Alligator mississippiensis: one gene and its partners. The protein of the gene in region 3 interacts with the protein of the main gene of each other region in a pairwise test. Links are inferred from orthologs where the notes say so. Each region holds a gene or a part of one and is shown on either strand. Other genes may lie near its edges.

Region 1 (3,745 bases), on a different chromosome or scaffold from region 3:
TACCCAGCAGACAAGGTTTCTTGGGTGACTCTGATATCTTTTATTAGACCAACCCAAATAGTTGGAAAATAATTATTAAGCAAGCTTTCGGGTTCAAAAACCTTTCGTCAAGCTAAGGAAGTTTCAGCAGTTGGTATGCGCTCTTCCTGGATGGAAGAGCACACACTAACTGCTGAAACTTCCTTAGCCTGACGAAGGGTTTTTGAACCCGAAAGCTTGCTTAATAATTATTTTCCAACTATTTGGGTTGGTCTAATAAAAGATAATCAGAGTCACCCAAGAAACCTTGTCTGCCTATGTCCTTAGACCAACACGGCTACAACCTACACCCCTGTATACATACCCAGCTGCATTATCAACTCAAATCAGTTGGGGAATCTTTTATGAAGGTGGTGTGATCACAACAACAGAAGTACATTGTTAGAGTTTCATCAAAACATGCATTAGCTTAAATTAAGCTTTGTTGGTTTTGAAGTCATTCCAATATATAGAGATTATACTTTCCTTCTTTCCAACCCAGCACACCTGGGCAGATCATACATTCTGGCACAAACTGCACTCCATATATTCTTTCAAAAAATTCTAGAAAAATAAATCTTTCATATATATTAATTATCATGCTAATAAGCAGGATGCAATTTTATAGCTTTTGCAAAAATATAGGCCATGAATGCAAGGATTAGATTAACAATTGTGATTCCCTCCATATAGCATCAACATAAAGAACTTCACTAGAGTTGGACAGGCTTATATAAACTTCTCACAAATTTGTATTTTGCAATTAGTGTTCATGAGGTATTTACCAACTGTGCTGGTAGAGATTATAAATTTCATGAAACCCTAAATGCAATTGTGAACTTGCATGAGTGAAGCTGGCAAACAAAACTATGCAACTGCTTATTGAAATACGCTATTATACCCTTGAGACAGGCAAGTAACAAAAAATGGTATCTATTTTTTTTTAAATATACTGACTGATCCAAGGAAATTATGGTTCAGTAAATATTAGTCCAATACCATGAAGAGCGGAGCTTTTACAACCTTTGTAGACAAGCAAAGAAAAACGGTTCCTTTGCTGGGCTCCCATAACCTTACTTGCCATCTCCACACAATCATATGTGCACACAGACTTCAGAAAGGGAAAAATTGCTTTTTTCTTGGATTTGAGTATGGGGCTGGGCCAAAGCTTGAGCTGCTACTGCCCTGCTGTCAGGCTGGGGTAGCTTGTGCAACAGTGGAGTGGGTAAATGGTAAGCCTCAAGGTGTACAACCTGGAGGAGCATACAGGGGAGAACACTCAGCACCAGGGGTGCTGGTGGCTCCAGCCCTGACTCAGGCAAGGGGCCAGAGTTGCTACTGCCACCACTGGGCCAGGCCAGGGCCAGAGCCACTGTGTGCTCCATGTCCTGGGCCAGAACTGGAGCCAGAATCACCGCATAGGGGAAGTGGCAAGGAGACAAGTGCAGGTGGGTACGAAGCCTGTTATCCCTCCCCTTCCCAATTACTTTCCCTACCACCATTTGTCTCCTGACTGCTGCTTTTCCCTGCCACAGAAATGGAGGTGTGCATGTGTGGGGGATGGGGGGGGAAGAGGATTAAGATGATCCTCCCATAAAGAGAGTCTACATGGGGGGGGCAGAACTACAACAAATTTATAATTTTCCATGTACAGAATCAAAGTACTGAGGGGAGGGGTCATCTTAAATTCAAAGTTGTCTTGGATGTGGCTAAATAAAGCAGATAAGATCTGACAGAGAGCAACTAACATATGCATATTCCTGATTGTTCACTGTCACCTATGGAAAGAAGCAAGCCTAAAAGCAATCCAAGTCAAAAAAACAATAGGTTCCAGCAGGCTTGAAGGACAAGACCCTTTAACTCATGCCTAACTTCTTCATCTGCAAAAGAAGTTACTCACATTCTTCCTACACCTTCATACATGCGTGTCTCGTCCACCAGCGTCATAATCTCAGTGTCCGTGAGGTGCGCGTGCTTTTTTGTCCTGTTCAACTGTTCTATCTGCATATCTGCCAGCTTCACCTTCTGCTGAGTGTCAATGACCTTGGCCTGCAGCTCAGTAAAAGCCTAAGGGAGAAGCGCGGGAGAAGCAGTCAGGGCCGGGGGGAACAGGGCCAGGCTCTGCGCCGCAGCGGTTTCCTTTCCCCTCAGAAATCGCAGCGGCAGCCGCGAGCCCGCAGGCCAGGACCCAGCGCTGCTCCGACACCGGCCCGCGAGCCCAGGCCGCCCCCGCCCGCCTGCAGCGCTCCGCAGCCTCGCACAGGCTGCGCCAGGGGAGGGGAGGGGACAGAAGAGGACGGACGACTCCTGCCGGGGCGAGCGCCCCCTCGCAGGCAGCCTCCCCCACCATGGGCCAACCGGGAGGAGCAGGACGGACCCTGCCGCGGCGCCGCTACCTTCTTCAGCTCCAGGTCCACAGGCGCCGCCATATTGCCTGCGCCTGCGCGGTGCAGCCGCGTGTCTGGGGTCCGCGCGCCTGCGCAGTGAGGGTCGCTGAGCCCAAGTCTACTACAGCCTGTCCCCGGCCGAGAGAGGAGCAAGGCCGAGCTCCGCCCCCGCTCGGAGCTGGGCGGGGCCGCGTATCAGGTCCAGGAGCTGCTGGCGCAGCGCGGGCGTGAGGTGGAGGTTTTCGCCCATCAGCGCGGCCCCGGCCCCGGCCCCGGCCCCGGCTCTCTACTCACTCGCCAGGTGCGGGAGCGGCTGAGCGCCCCGCCCTGCACCTGCTCCCGCTGCTTTCTGCGGTGTGACTTAGCTACAGGCGACCTAGCAGTGACCTGGGCCTGCAGCGCTCTCCGCAGCAGCAGCCGCAGGGGTTAAGGCCAGATCCTGGCCTGCTTGCAGCTCGGGTCCTGCCCTGTGCACTGAAGCAGAGTCTTTCCTGGTGGCCATCAGCGTGGAGCCCCTGAAGCCCAAGGGCAGCGCTGCGTGTCCCCAAGGAGCCGAGCCTGTGCTCGCGCCCGGACCACTGCAGGATTGTTTCTGTGGTAGACCCAACCCTGGCTCGGTGCTGCTAACAGCGGTGGGATTCCTGGCAAATGAACAAATTGTGTAGTGTAGCAAGTAAGCAGACAATAAAACAGAGGATGTTTGTGCACTCTGGACTGTGGACTTAGAAAATATGCAATTGCTTATTGAAATACGCTGCTATACCCTTGAGACAGGCAAGTAACAAAAATAGTATCTATTTTTTAAAAAGATATGGACTGATCCAAGGAAATTATGGTTCAGTAAATATTAGTCCAATACCAGGAAGAGCAGGGCTTTTAGAACCCTTGTAGATAAGCAAAGAAAAACCCTTCCTTTGCTCCCATAGCCTTACTTGCCATCTCCACACAATCATACGTGCACACAGACATCAGAAAGAGAAAAATTGCTTTTTTCTTGGATTTGAGTATGGGGCCGGGCCAAAGCTTGAGCTGCTACTGTCCATGCGCTGTGGACTTAGAAAATATGCAATTGCTTATTGAAATATGCTGTTATACCCTTGAGACAGGCGAGTAACAAAAATGGTATCTATTTCTGGGTATGTATCACGTTCATCAACCAACCAGGGCCCAGAAGTGGTATCATATGATTGTACATGTAATTATTAATGAGTGTATTATGCCATACATGTGTAGGGTTGTATCAGCCAATGTGAAGATTAGATCGCTGCCTGAGGAGCAGAAAGTCCAAGGGGTTATTATTTCTGCTCCCATTGAAGTCAGCGTGAGTTTTACGGTTGGCA
Region 2 (3,745 bases), on a different chromosome or scaffold from region 3:
CAAGGGCTGCAAATGAACATTTTTCTTCTAGTGAAAATTTAGAGGAAATGTGATTGGATAATCTGTTTTGAGTGGATGCGTGGGTTTCACTGGGCGTCATTATTATGAAGCACTGAGTTTTAATAAAAAAGGCTTTTTTTATTTAGAAATTCACAAATCAACTTTATTTAAAAACCTTAACTTCAGATCATTATACCAAGGAGCTGGCATTTATTTGCTCAATGCTTTAAATGTCAACCACATTGACATTTATAGCATTCTTGGTCTGTGAACTCCTAAGAAATGGAATGAAGCTGTTTCTGTATCTAATGTATGAGGGCATGAGGCATGGGGAGTGTGCCAGTCCTATTTCCAATGTCACTCCTATCTGCCAGGAAATTTTCCAGAACTTTTAAGTCCTATCTCTTCCCTACCAAAAGGGACACTGTGCGCTTGCTCTTCCTACTTGCAGAAGGCAGACCATCACCCTGTCTCACCATTACAGGGTGACTGGCAGTGTCTCAGAACTGAGCTGCACAAATCAAATTACCGCTTTACTTCTGTTTTGTGATAGACAGCAGAAGAAGTGGAGGATTTGCTCAGCCTACCTTTGATGATTCCTTTCTCCAGCTTTCCTTAGTTTCTAGGTTTTGAACTGGACTTGGAGGGCACAGGACACTCTTGGAGGGTTAACTGCCATGCTCTGCATTTACAGGAAAACTGTGGCAGGCAGGCACACTGTTCCCATGCCCAGGGTAGGTGCTCCAATCAGTCTGTGTTCACAGGGTTTTTTCATGCAGCTCATCAGAGCAGCAACTTGGTCCTGAGGGAGCAACATGTAACCCAGAATAAGAAATACCACAGAACCCAGCTGGTGTCACTCAGACAGTGTGTGTACAAGATAGCAAAAAAGCAAATCCTGGTCTGTGTCCAAGTCGACCCTGTGTTTGTCCAGGAATAAAAAAAATCTCTTGGGATGGTTGGGACACACATCACCCTTCTAACCAGGGTTTGGTGAGCCGCTGACTGCACTGCTGCTTTTCGGCCATTGATTCAATGCTGTTATCCTGGGATAAACTCTGACCAACTCTTATCTCCTGGGGAACCTTTTTTAGGATTTATCCCAGGACAACAGAGACAACCGTCTGCCTGGCCATGTCACTTTGTCCTGAGATAAAATGGTTTCTCCCTGGATTAACGCCACGTGTGCTTGCGTCTGTAAAGGGCAGAAACGGGAGAAGTGGGCCCAGCAGGGACTTCGTCCCCCGCACTTTATCAACTGGTTTCGGTCCGTGTGAGGGCAAGGCCCCTCGGGCCGGGACTTGGCGCTCCGCCCCCAGCGGGCGGGGAGGTGGTGGCGCGCGCTGAGGGAGCACGTGCACTGGCACGTGGATGAGACGGGGGTGAGGCTCTACGGCCCGGGGTCATCGTCAGGACCCGGTTCTGTTGCGTCACGGCTCCAGCTACCAATGGGAGGCCTCGTCGGCGCAGCCATTTTATTTACTCACGAGTTCGCTGCGGCTTCGCCCCTTCGCGATAACTAATCGCGGCGGTGACTGGCGCGTGTCCCGCCTCTTCCGGCCGCGCTGGGGGCGGTGGCGCTTGCGCTAGCGGCGGTGAGTGCTGCGGAGGCTCAGGGGAGCCGGGGCCGGGGCCGGGGCCGGGGCCGGGGCCGCACGACCCGCGGGTTGGGCGCGGGGCGGGGGCTGCCGCTCTTCCAGGAGCCGGCGCGGCCGGGCGCCGTGTAGCCGCCCCGTGGTCCGCTCCGACCGTCCCGGCGGGGGCCCCAGTGCTGCGGCCGGTCCCTTTGCAGCGCCCGCGGCTCGGCTCGGCCCGGCGCTGCCGGCTGTGCCGGGCCTCGGGCCTGGTCCCAGCTCTTCCCTTCCCCTGCCCTTCAGCCTGGAGCTGGCCGTGTCCGGCCGGCCGGCCGGCTCCTCTGCGCCTTCGCTGTGATTGCTCGAACATGTGTAATGACTTTATAGCTGGTTTCTCTCCAGCTTCGGCGCAGGCCCTGCCAGCTCCCAGCTGCTGGGCAGCCCGCGCAGCACAGCACGGTGCAGCCAACGTGGTCCCCGAGCTGCGGGGGTGCGGGGTGCTCCAGGTAGCAGCTGGGAGACTGTAGCTCCCGCGATCTCCCCGCCATTGTGACCCCCCAGCTGTGGGGCACCAGGGCTGCAGCTGACGGGGCTCTTAGTCCCGGCTGCACCCCACATGCAACTGTACTGAGAGCCCCATCAGACCTAGGACTCTCAGTCCCAGCTGTGTGGGGTCCCTGTAGCTGGGAGCCCCATCAGCAAAGCGGACTCCCAGCCATGGAAGCCTGCTTTGTACTGATGTTGGAGGAGCCCAGGATCCAGTTGTCCCTATACCAGCAATAAGGTGTGATTGGATCTAATGTGCGATGCACTATGGGGTGGATCCTGCATTAGATCCAGTTGTGTCTATACCTGCATGTGTAGTGGGGCCCTGTTTCCCCATTTTTTATTCCAAACATGAGGAGTTGGCCAGCCTCACTGGTGGTCATGCATGGCCTACTCATTGATCATTATTGTTTAAAGAACTCCAGTTGGCCTGCCGGTGAAATCAGAAGTCTAACTTTTTTTTTTACCTGCCACTGAAATTTGGGCCTCTTCTTATTGTGCGGGTGCTTGATTGTAGCTGTTACGATGACTGTCATTACTGCTGTCCATACAAAGCTCTTGTATTAGCATGAATATGTTAAAAGACAGCCAACCTGTGGCTACACTACGAGTGAGAGCCCATTTTTGTGAACTGTTCTTTGTGCATATTGTATTGGAACTTTTATTCCCCTTTCCTTGTTGAGAACTGACACTTATCACTGGGTCCAGTTCAGTGTTAACTTGTGTACTGCAGCATAAAATGGATTTGAATGCATATAAGGTTTCTTGCTACATGACAGCAGAGATGTGGGTTTTCCAGAAAATTTTGAATTGGAAAATTTCCAATGCCCTAAATAGAGTGTGATCTGATTTAGCATGTTTATTTGACGTGTATTTAGTAAACAAAACTAAAAAAGTACCCCATTTTAATTTTATGTCCCAATAGCCACAAGTATTTAAACTGAAATATTTGATTAAGAAAAGAATTGAATATAGTGCACTTAATATGGTTTAAATGTTATATTCAAACAAATTCAAAGCTTCATGTAGAAAGAAATTATTTTTATTGCAATACTAGCAACAATGTAAAGACAATACACAATAGCATGTGCTTCCCTGACATTGTTTGTTTAAATTTAAGGAAAAAAGGCATTGAAAACTGTTGACACACTAATTTGAGCACACCCAAAGAACTGTGCATGATATGCTGTGCTGTGGTTTTGATTTGACCTGCACAGCTGATTAGGTGAATTCATACCTTGATTTTTGGTTTGGCTTATGTGAGTGTATTTACCCTCCTGTTTACAAATCAATTAAACATGTATGTACTCTCTCTCACACTTCCTGGGGATAATCGCCTGAAAAACATTAATTACATCTTTGAAACTGCTAAGCTTGCCTAATATTGTATTGGCATCCATTCATTGTTACTAATGAATTTTATGAAACAATGAATTTTTAGAAATGGAAAGTTTTCCATGGTAAAATAAAGCACTGGAAAATTTTCTGCCCCACATCTCTGCGTGGCAGAGCTTCAAATTGGAGAACTGACAAGTAAGGAACTGTGTTCCATGGGAGAAGATTATTAGGAATTTCTAAATGTTGCGGGGGGAAAGTTGTTGCAGTAATTTCTCTTTGGGGAAAAT
Region 3 (3,745 bases):
CAGAGCCGGGCGGGGGCCAGGGGCTCGGGGGGGCGCCCGCTCACGCCCCGCCGGCCCCGCGCGCGCTTGGGGGGGCGCGACCCACCTGCAGCAGGGTGGGGGGCCAGGGGCTGTGGCGCAGGTGCTTGACGATGGAGATGTGGCGGCCCAGGCTGCGGTGCACGCTGCAGCACTCGTCGCAGATCAGCACGCCCCGGTTGATGGAGGCCCAGCCGGGGTCTGCGGGGCAGGCGGGCGTCAGGGCCCCGGGGGCCACCCAGCATCCCCCGGCCCCGTGCCCATTCTGGGTCCCCCCACGGTTTTGGGCATGGTTGCTATGGAAACCACCAGGCCCTGGAGTTGCGGCGCTGTAACTAGGGAAACCTAGAGGTTCCCGTAGCAACCTGGCACGGGGGTGCTGGGGAGGAGTACCCCGCAGGGGGGGCAGCCTCAATCTGTGCCCAGGACGATGCTGCGCCCATTCCCGGGGGCCGCCAGCTTGGGGCGGGCACGTGCGGGGGCGATGCCTGGCCCTGAGGGGCACCAGCCCCGTGCCCCTGGGGGAGCGGGAAGTAGCCCCCTGCCCAGCCGGCACCCCCAGGGTCTCGGGCCCAGCGGCTCCCAGCCCAGCTGCAACGGCCCCGTGCCAGTGCCAGCTGCCCCTCACCCACCTGCCCCGCAGCCCGGCCTGGCCTCGCTGCCCCCCAGTCCGGCCCAGCCCCCCCAGCGCCAGCCCCGAGCCTTTGTCCTCGCTCTGGCACTCGGAGAACAAAGGGCCGTTTGAGACGCGAGCACTCGGCTCCGGGGAGGGGGAGGGCGGCCGGTGCCCCCGGGCACGGCTCCGCTCCGGCCTCGCCAGCGTCCGGCGCAGCGGCCGCCCCACGCGCTGGACTGGGGTGCAGCATGGGCCTCGCTGTGGGGGAGCCCCCGGGCACACGCCAGCCGCACGGCCCGGCCCAGCCGCCGCAGTGGAAAGGTCACGGGGAGAACGGGCGCTTTGTGCTGCAGCCGGAGCTGGTGCTGCCCTGGCCGGAGCGCGGCTCCGCTCCCCCAGCCCGGGCATCGGCCTGCCTGGAGCCCCCCCAGCCCTGTCGGTGCCCCTCACTCCCGACCCGCAGCCCCCCATGTCTTGTGGTGCCCTCACCCCCAACCTGTGCCCCCCGAGCCTTGCAGTTGCCCTCACCCCCAACCCATGGCCCCTGAGGCTTTGTGGTGCCCCTCACTCCTGGCTTGCTGCCCCCCAGGCCTTGCAGTGCCCCTCGCTCTTGCCCCGCAGCCCCCCATCCCAGCGGGTGCCCCTCGCTTCCGACCAGCAGCCCCCCAGCCCTGCCGATGCCCCTCACCCCAACCCCTGGCGTCATACGGAGGTGTCAGCCTGGAGGCCCCCCGGGCCACAGCCCCCTGCCCCCTCCCTGCCCCCCGCCCCGAGGAGAGGAGCTCTGGGCGCGAGGCCCATTGTGCAAACGCTGCCTGCAAAGTTCAAACCACCCAATTAGCAAAGCAAAGGCCGAGGCGCCGCAGGCCTGGCTCAGCTGCCGGAGCCGCAGGAAAACAGGTCAAGGTTTCTTTCCTGCAGCCGCAGGGCCCCGCGCAGGCCCAGGCAAGACGTGGCCTCCCCCTCCCCAGCCCAGGGCTGCCCCACGGCTCGGCCAGCCCCAGCCCCAGGTCCCCCGCCACCCGGTGCCCTCGCTCCCACCCCACAGCCCTGATGCCAGGGGGCAGGTGGCTCCGCATGGTGCTGAGTGCAGGCCTGGGGCTGGGATGGAGCAGGGCCCCCCGATCCGTGAGCAGCCGCTGGGCATCTGGGAGCCGCGGAGGCCAGGCACCCATGGGGCCGATGCAACCCTGGCATTGCCCGAGGGCCTTGCCCAGCCCCAGCCCACGCACGGGCCAGCTCCCTGTTGAGGATGCCTGGGTTCCTCAAGGACTCGGGGCCTGGGTGGCATGGTAGCACCTGGGGGGGCTGGCACAGGCCTCAGCATCGCTGGCCTCTGAGCCCTGCAGAGGAAGCCTAGCCGGGGCGGGGACCAGGCCCTCCCCGCGCTTCCTTCCTGCTGGGAACCGGACAGAGCGACTCTGGATGGGCGCGCGGGCAAAGGGGGAGCAGCTGGGCTTCGGATACAGGGCACAGGCTATGGGGCCACAGAGGCATTCACCCTGGCCCTGAGCCGTGGGCACCCGCTGCGCCACCTTGCCCTGGCACCCTGGGCACCGGCGCTCTCGGGACTGGAGGCGATGGGCTCGGGGCGTGCGGCTGGCACAGGGCGGGCACACAGATGGCGCGGGCGCGAGCGCGCTTGGCAGTGACGCGGCTGCATCTGTGCCTCTGCGCGGCTGCCCACGGGAGGCCGCCGGGCACAGACGGCTCTGCTCTGCGGCGGGCGAGAAGCGGGGCCTCCGCCCCCGGCCAACCTGCTCCTGCCCGTGGGCAGCTGCTCCCACGGGCCATGGCCTGGCGGCAGGTGACCAGGGTCAGTGCCCGTGCCCGTGCCCGTGCGGTGCCAGGAGCTGTGCGGTGCTCCCCAGGGCAGGCCCCGCCTTCCTGCCCGGGGCCGCGCTCTGCCACCGCCTGCCCGCGCGGCCGCGGGCACGTCCCTTACCGGTGGCGGGGTGGGTGCGGGGTGGCTGGGGGCCCCAGGGCTGGCGGGGAGCGGGCAGGCACGGCGGTGCCCGGCACGCAGGCGGACCCGCCCCGCTCCTGCGGCTGCGGCGGGGGCTGCGGGCGGGGCGGGCCGGGCCCTACCTGGGGCGCTGCAGTCGGCGCACACCTCCGCCCGCGGCGCCTTGCGGGACATGGTGCGGGCGGGCGGGCGCGCGGGGCCGGGCCGGGCCGGGCCGAGGGCCGGGAGCTGCGGGCTCGGGCTCGGCTCCTGCAGGAAACGGCGCAAGCCCGGCCCCGCCGGAGGAGGAGCCGCCCGGCCCGGCCCCGATCCCGGCTCCGCCCCGGCCGGCGGGGGGGGCTGCGGCGGGCCGGCCCCGCACCGCACCGCACCGCACAGCACCGCCCCGCCTCGCCTCGCCCAGCCGTGCCCGCGGGCCCCGCACCCGCACCCGCACCCGCCTGCCCACAGCCCCAGTCCCGCCGGCCCGGCCCGGCCCGGCCCCGAGCGGGAGGCGGCTGCGGGTGCGGGTGGCAGGAGGCACGGCCGTGCCCGCGCACGGCCTGGCAGTGCCACGGGGGCTGCAGCCCTCGCCTGCCACGCGCCGTGGGCGCGCGTGACTTGACGCCGGGGGCCGTGGGGGGCGCGCGGGGGTGTCGGGGTGGGGCCGGGCAGCGCCCGCGCGGGGCGGGTGGGGGGACACGCCGGGCCGGGCCGTGGGTGCAGGGCCAGGGGCCCCGCAGCGATTACTGTCGCCCGGGTGAGCACCGCGACATGCCGGCCCGGCCCTGCCCGCAGCCCCCGCAGCTCGCGGCTCACGACAGCGCCGGGGATGCCGCAGAGCCTGCGCGGGGCAGAGGGCTCCTCCCGGCCGCTGCCGCTGCAGCACGGGGCCCGGCCGCGAGGATGCTGCCCCTGGCCCCGCGCCCCGAGCCCCGCGCCCTGCGCCAGCGGCGGGGGATGCCCCGGCCCGGCCCCGCCCGCCCGCCCGCCCCGCCCCGCCCCGCGTGCTGGCACGGCCCGGGCACGGCGCTGCCAAGGCTGCCCGAGCCGGGGCGCAGCACGGCGCTGCCCGCGGGAGGCGGCGCCGGAGTCGGAGCCGGAGCCGGAGCCGGGGCCGGGCGGAGCGGCGCGGTGCAGCCCCCGGCCCCGCCCGGTTGCGGGAC

Evidence for each region.
Region 1: the proteins of GIT1 (region 3) and PFDN1 interact in binary tests that used the Homo sapiens proteins (3 or more experiments, as listed by UniProt). The link is inferred for Alligator mississippiensis from reciprocal best matches to the Homo sapiens genes GIT1 and PFDN1.
Region 2: the proteins of GIT1 (region 3) and HMOX2 interact in a two-hybrid assay, tested with the Homo sapiens proteins (2 studies listed by BioGRID and IntAct). The link is inferred for Alligator mississippiensis from reciprocal best matches to the Homo sapiens genes GIT1 and HMOX2.

The regions. Positions count from the first base shown.
Region 1 is NC_081832.1:43,038,323-43,042,067, reverse strand, and holds the start of PFDN1 (prefoldin subunit 1), read right to left. Parts: upstream 2,521-3,745; 5' UTR 2,448-2,520; coding exon 2,415-2,447; intron 2,086-2,414; coding exon 1,919-2,085; intron 1-1,918. UniProt on the Homo sapiens protein: Binds specifically to cytosolic chaperonin (c-CPN) and transfers target proteins to it. Binds to nascent polypeptide chain and promotes folding in an environment in which there are many competing pathways for nonnative proteins.
Region 2 is NC_081836.1:23,784,158-23,787,902, reverse strand, and holds the start of HMOX2 (heme oxygenase 2), read left to right. Parts: upstream 1-1,486; 5' UTR 1,487-1,595; intron 1,596-3,745.
Region 3 is NC_081837.1:1,504,162-1,507,906, forward strand, and holds the start of GIT1 (ARF GTPase-activating protein GIT1), read right to left. Parts: upstream 2,851-3,745; 5' UTR 2,775-2,850; coding exon 2,723-2,774; intron 220-2,722; coding exon 86-219; intron 1-85. UniProt on the Homo sapiens protein: GTPase-activating protein for ADP ribosylation factor family members, including ARF1.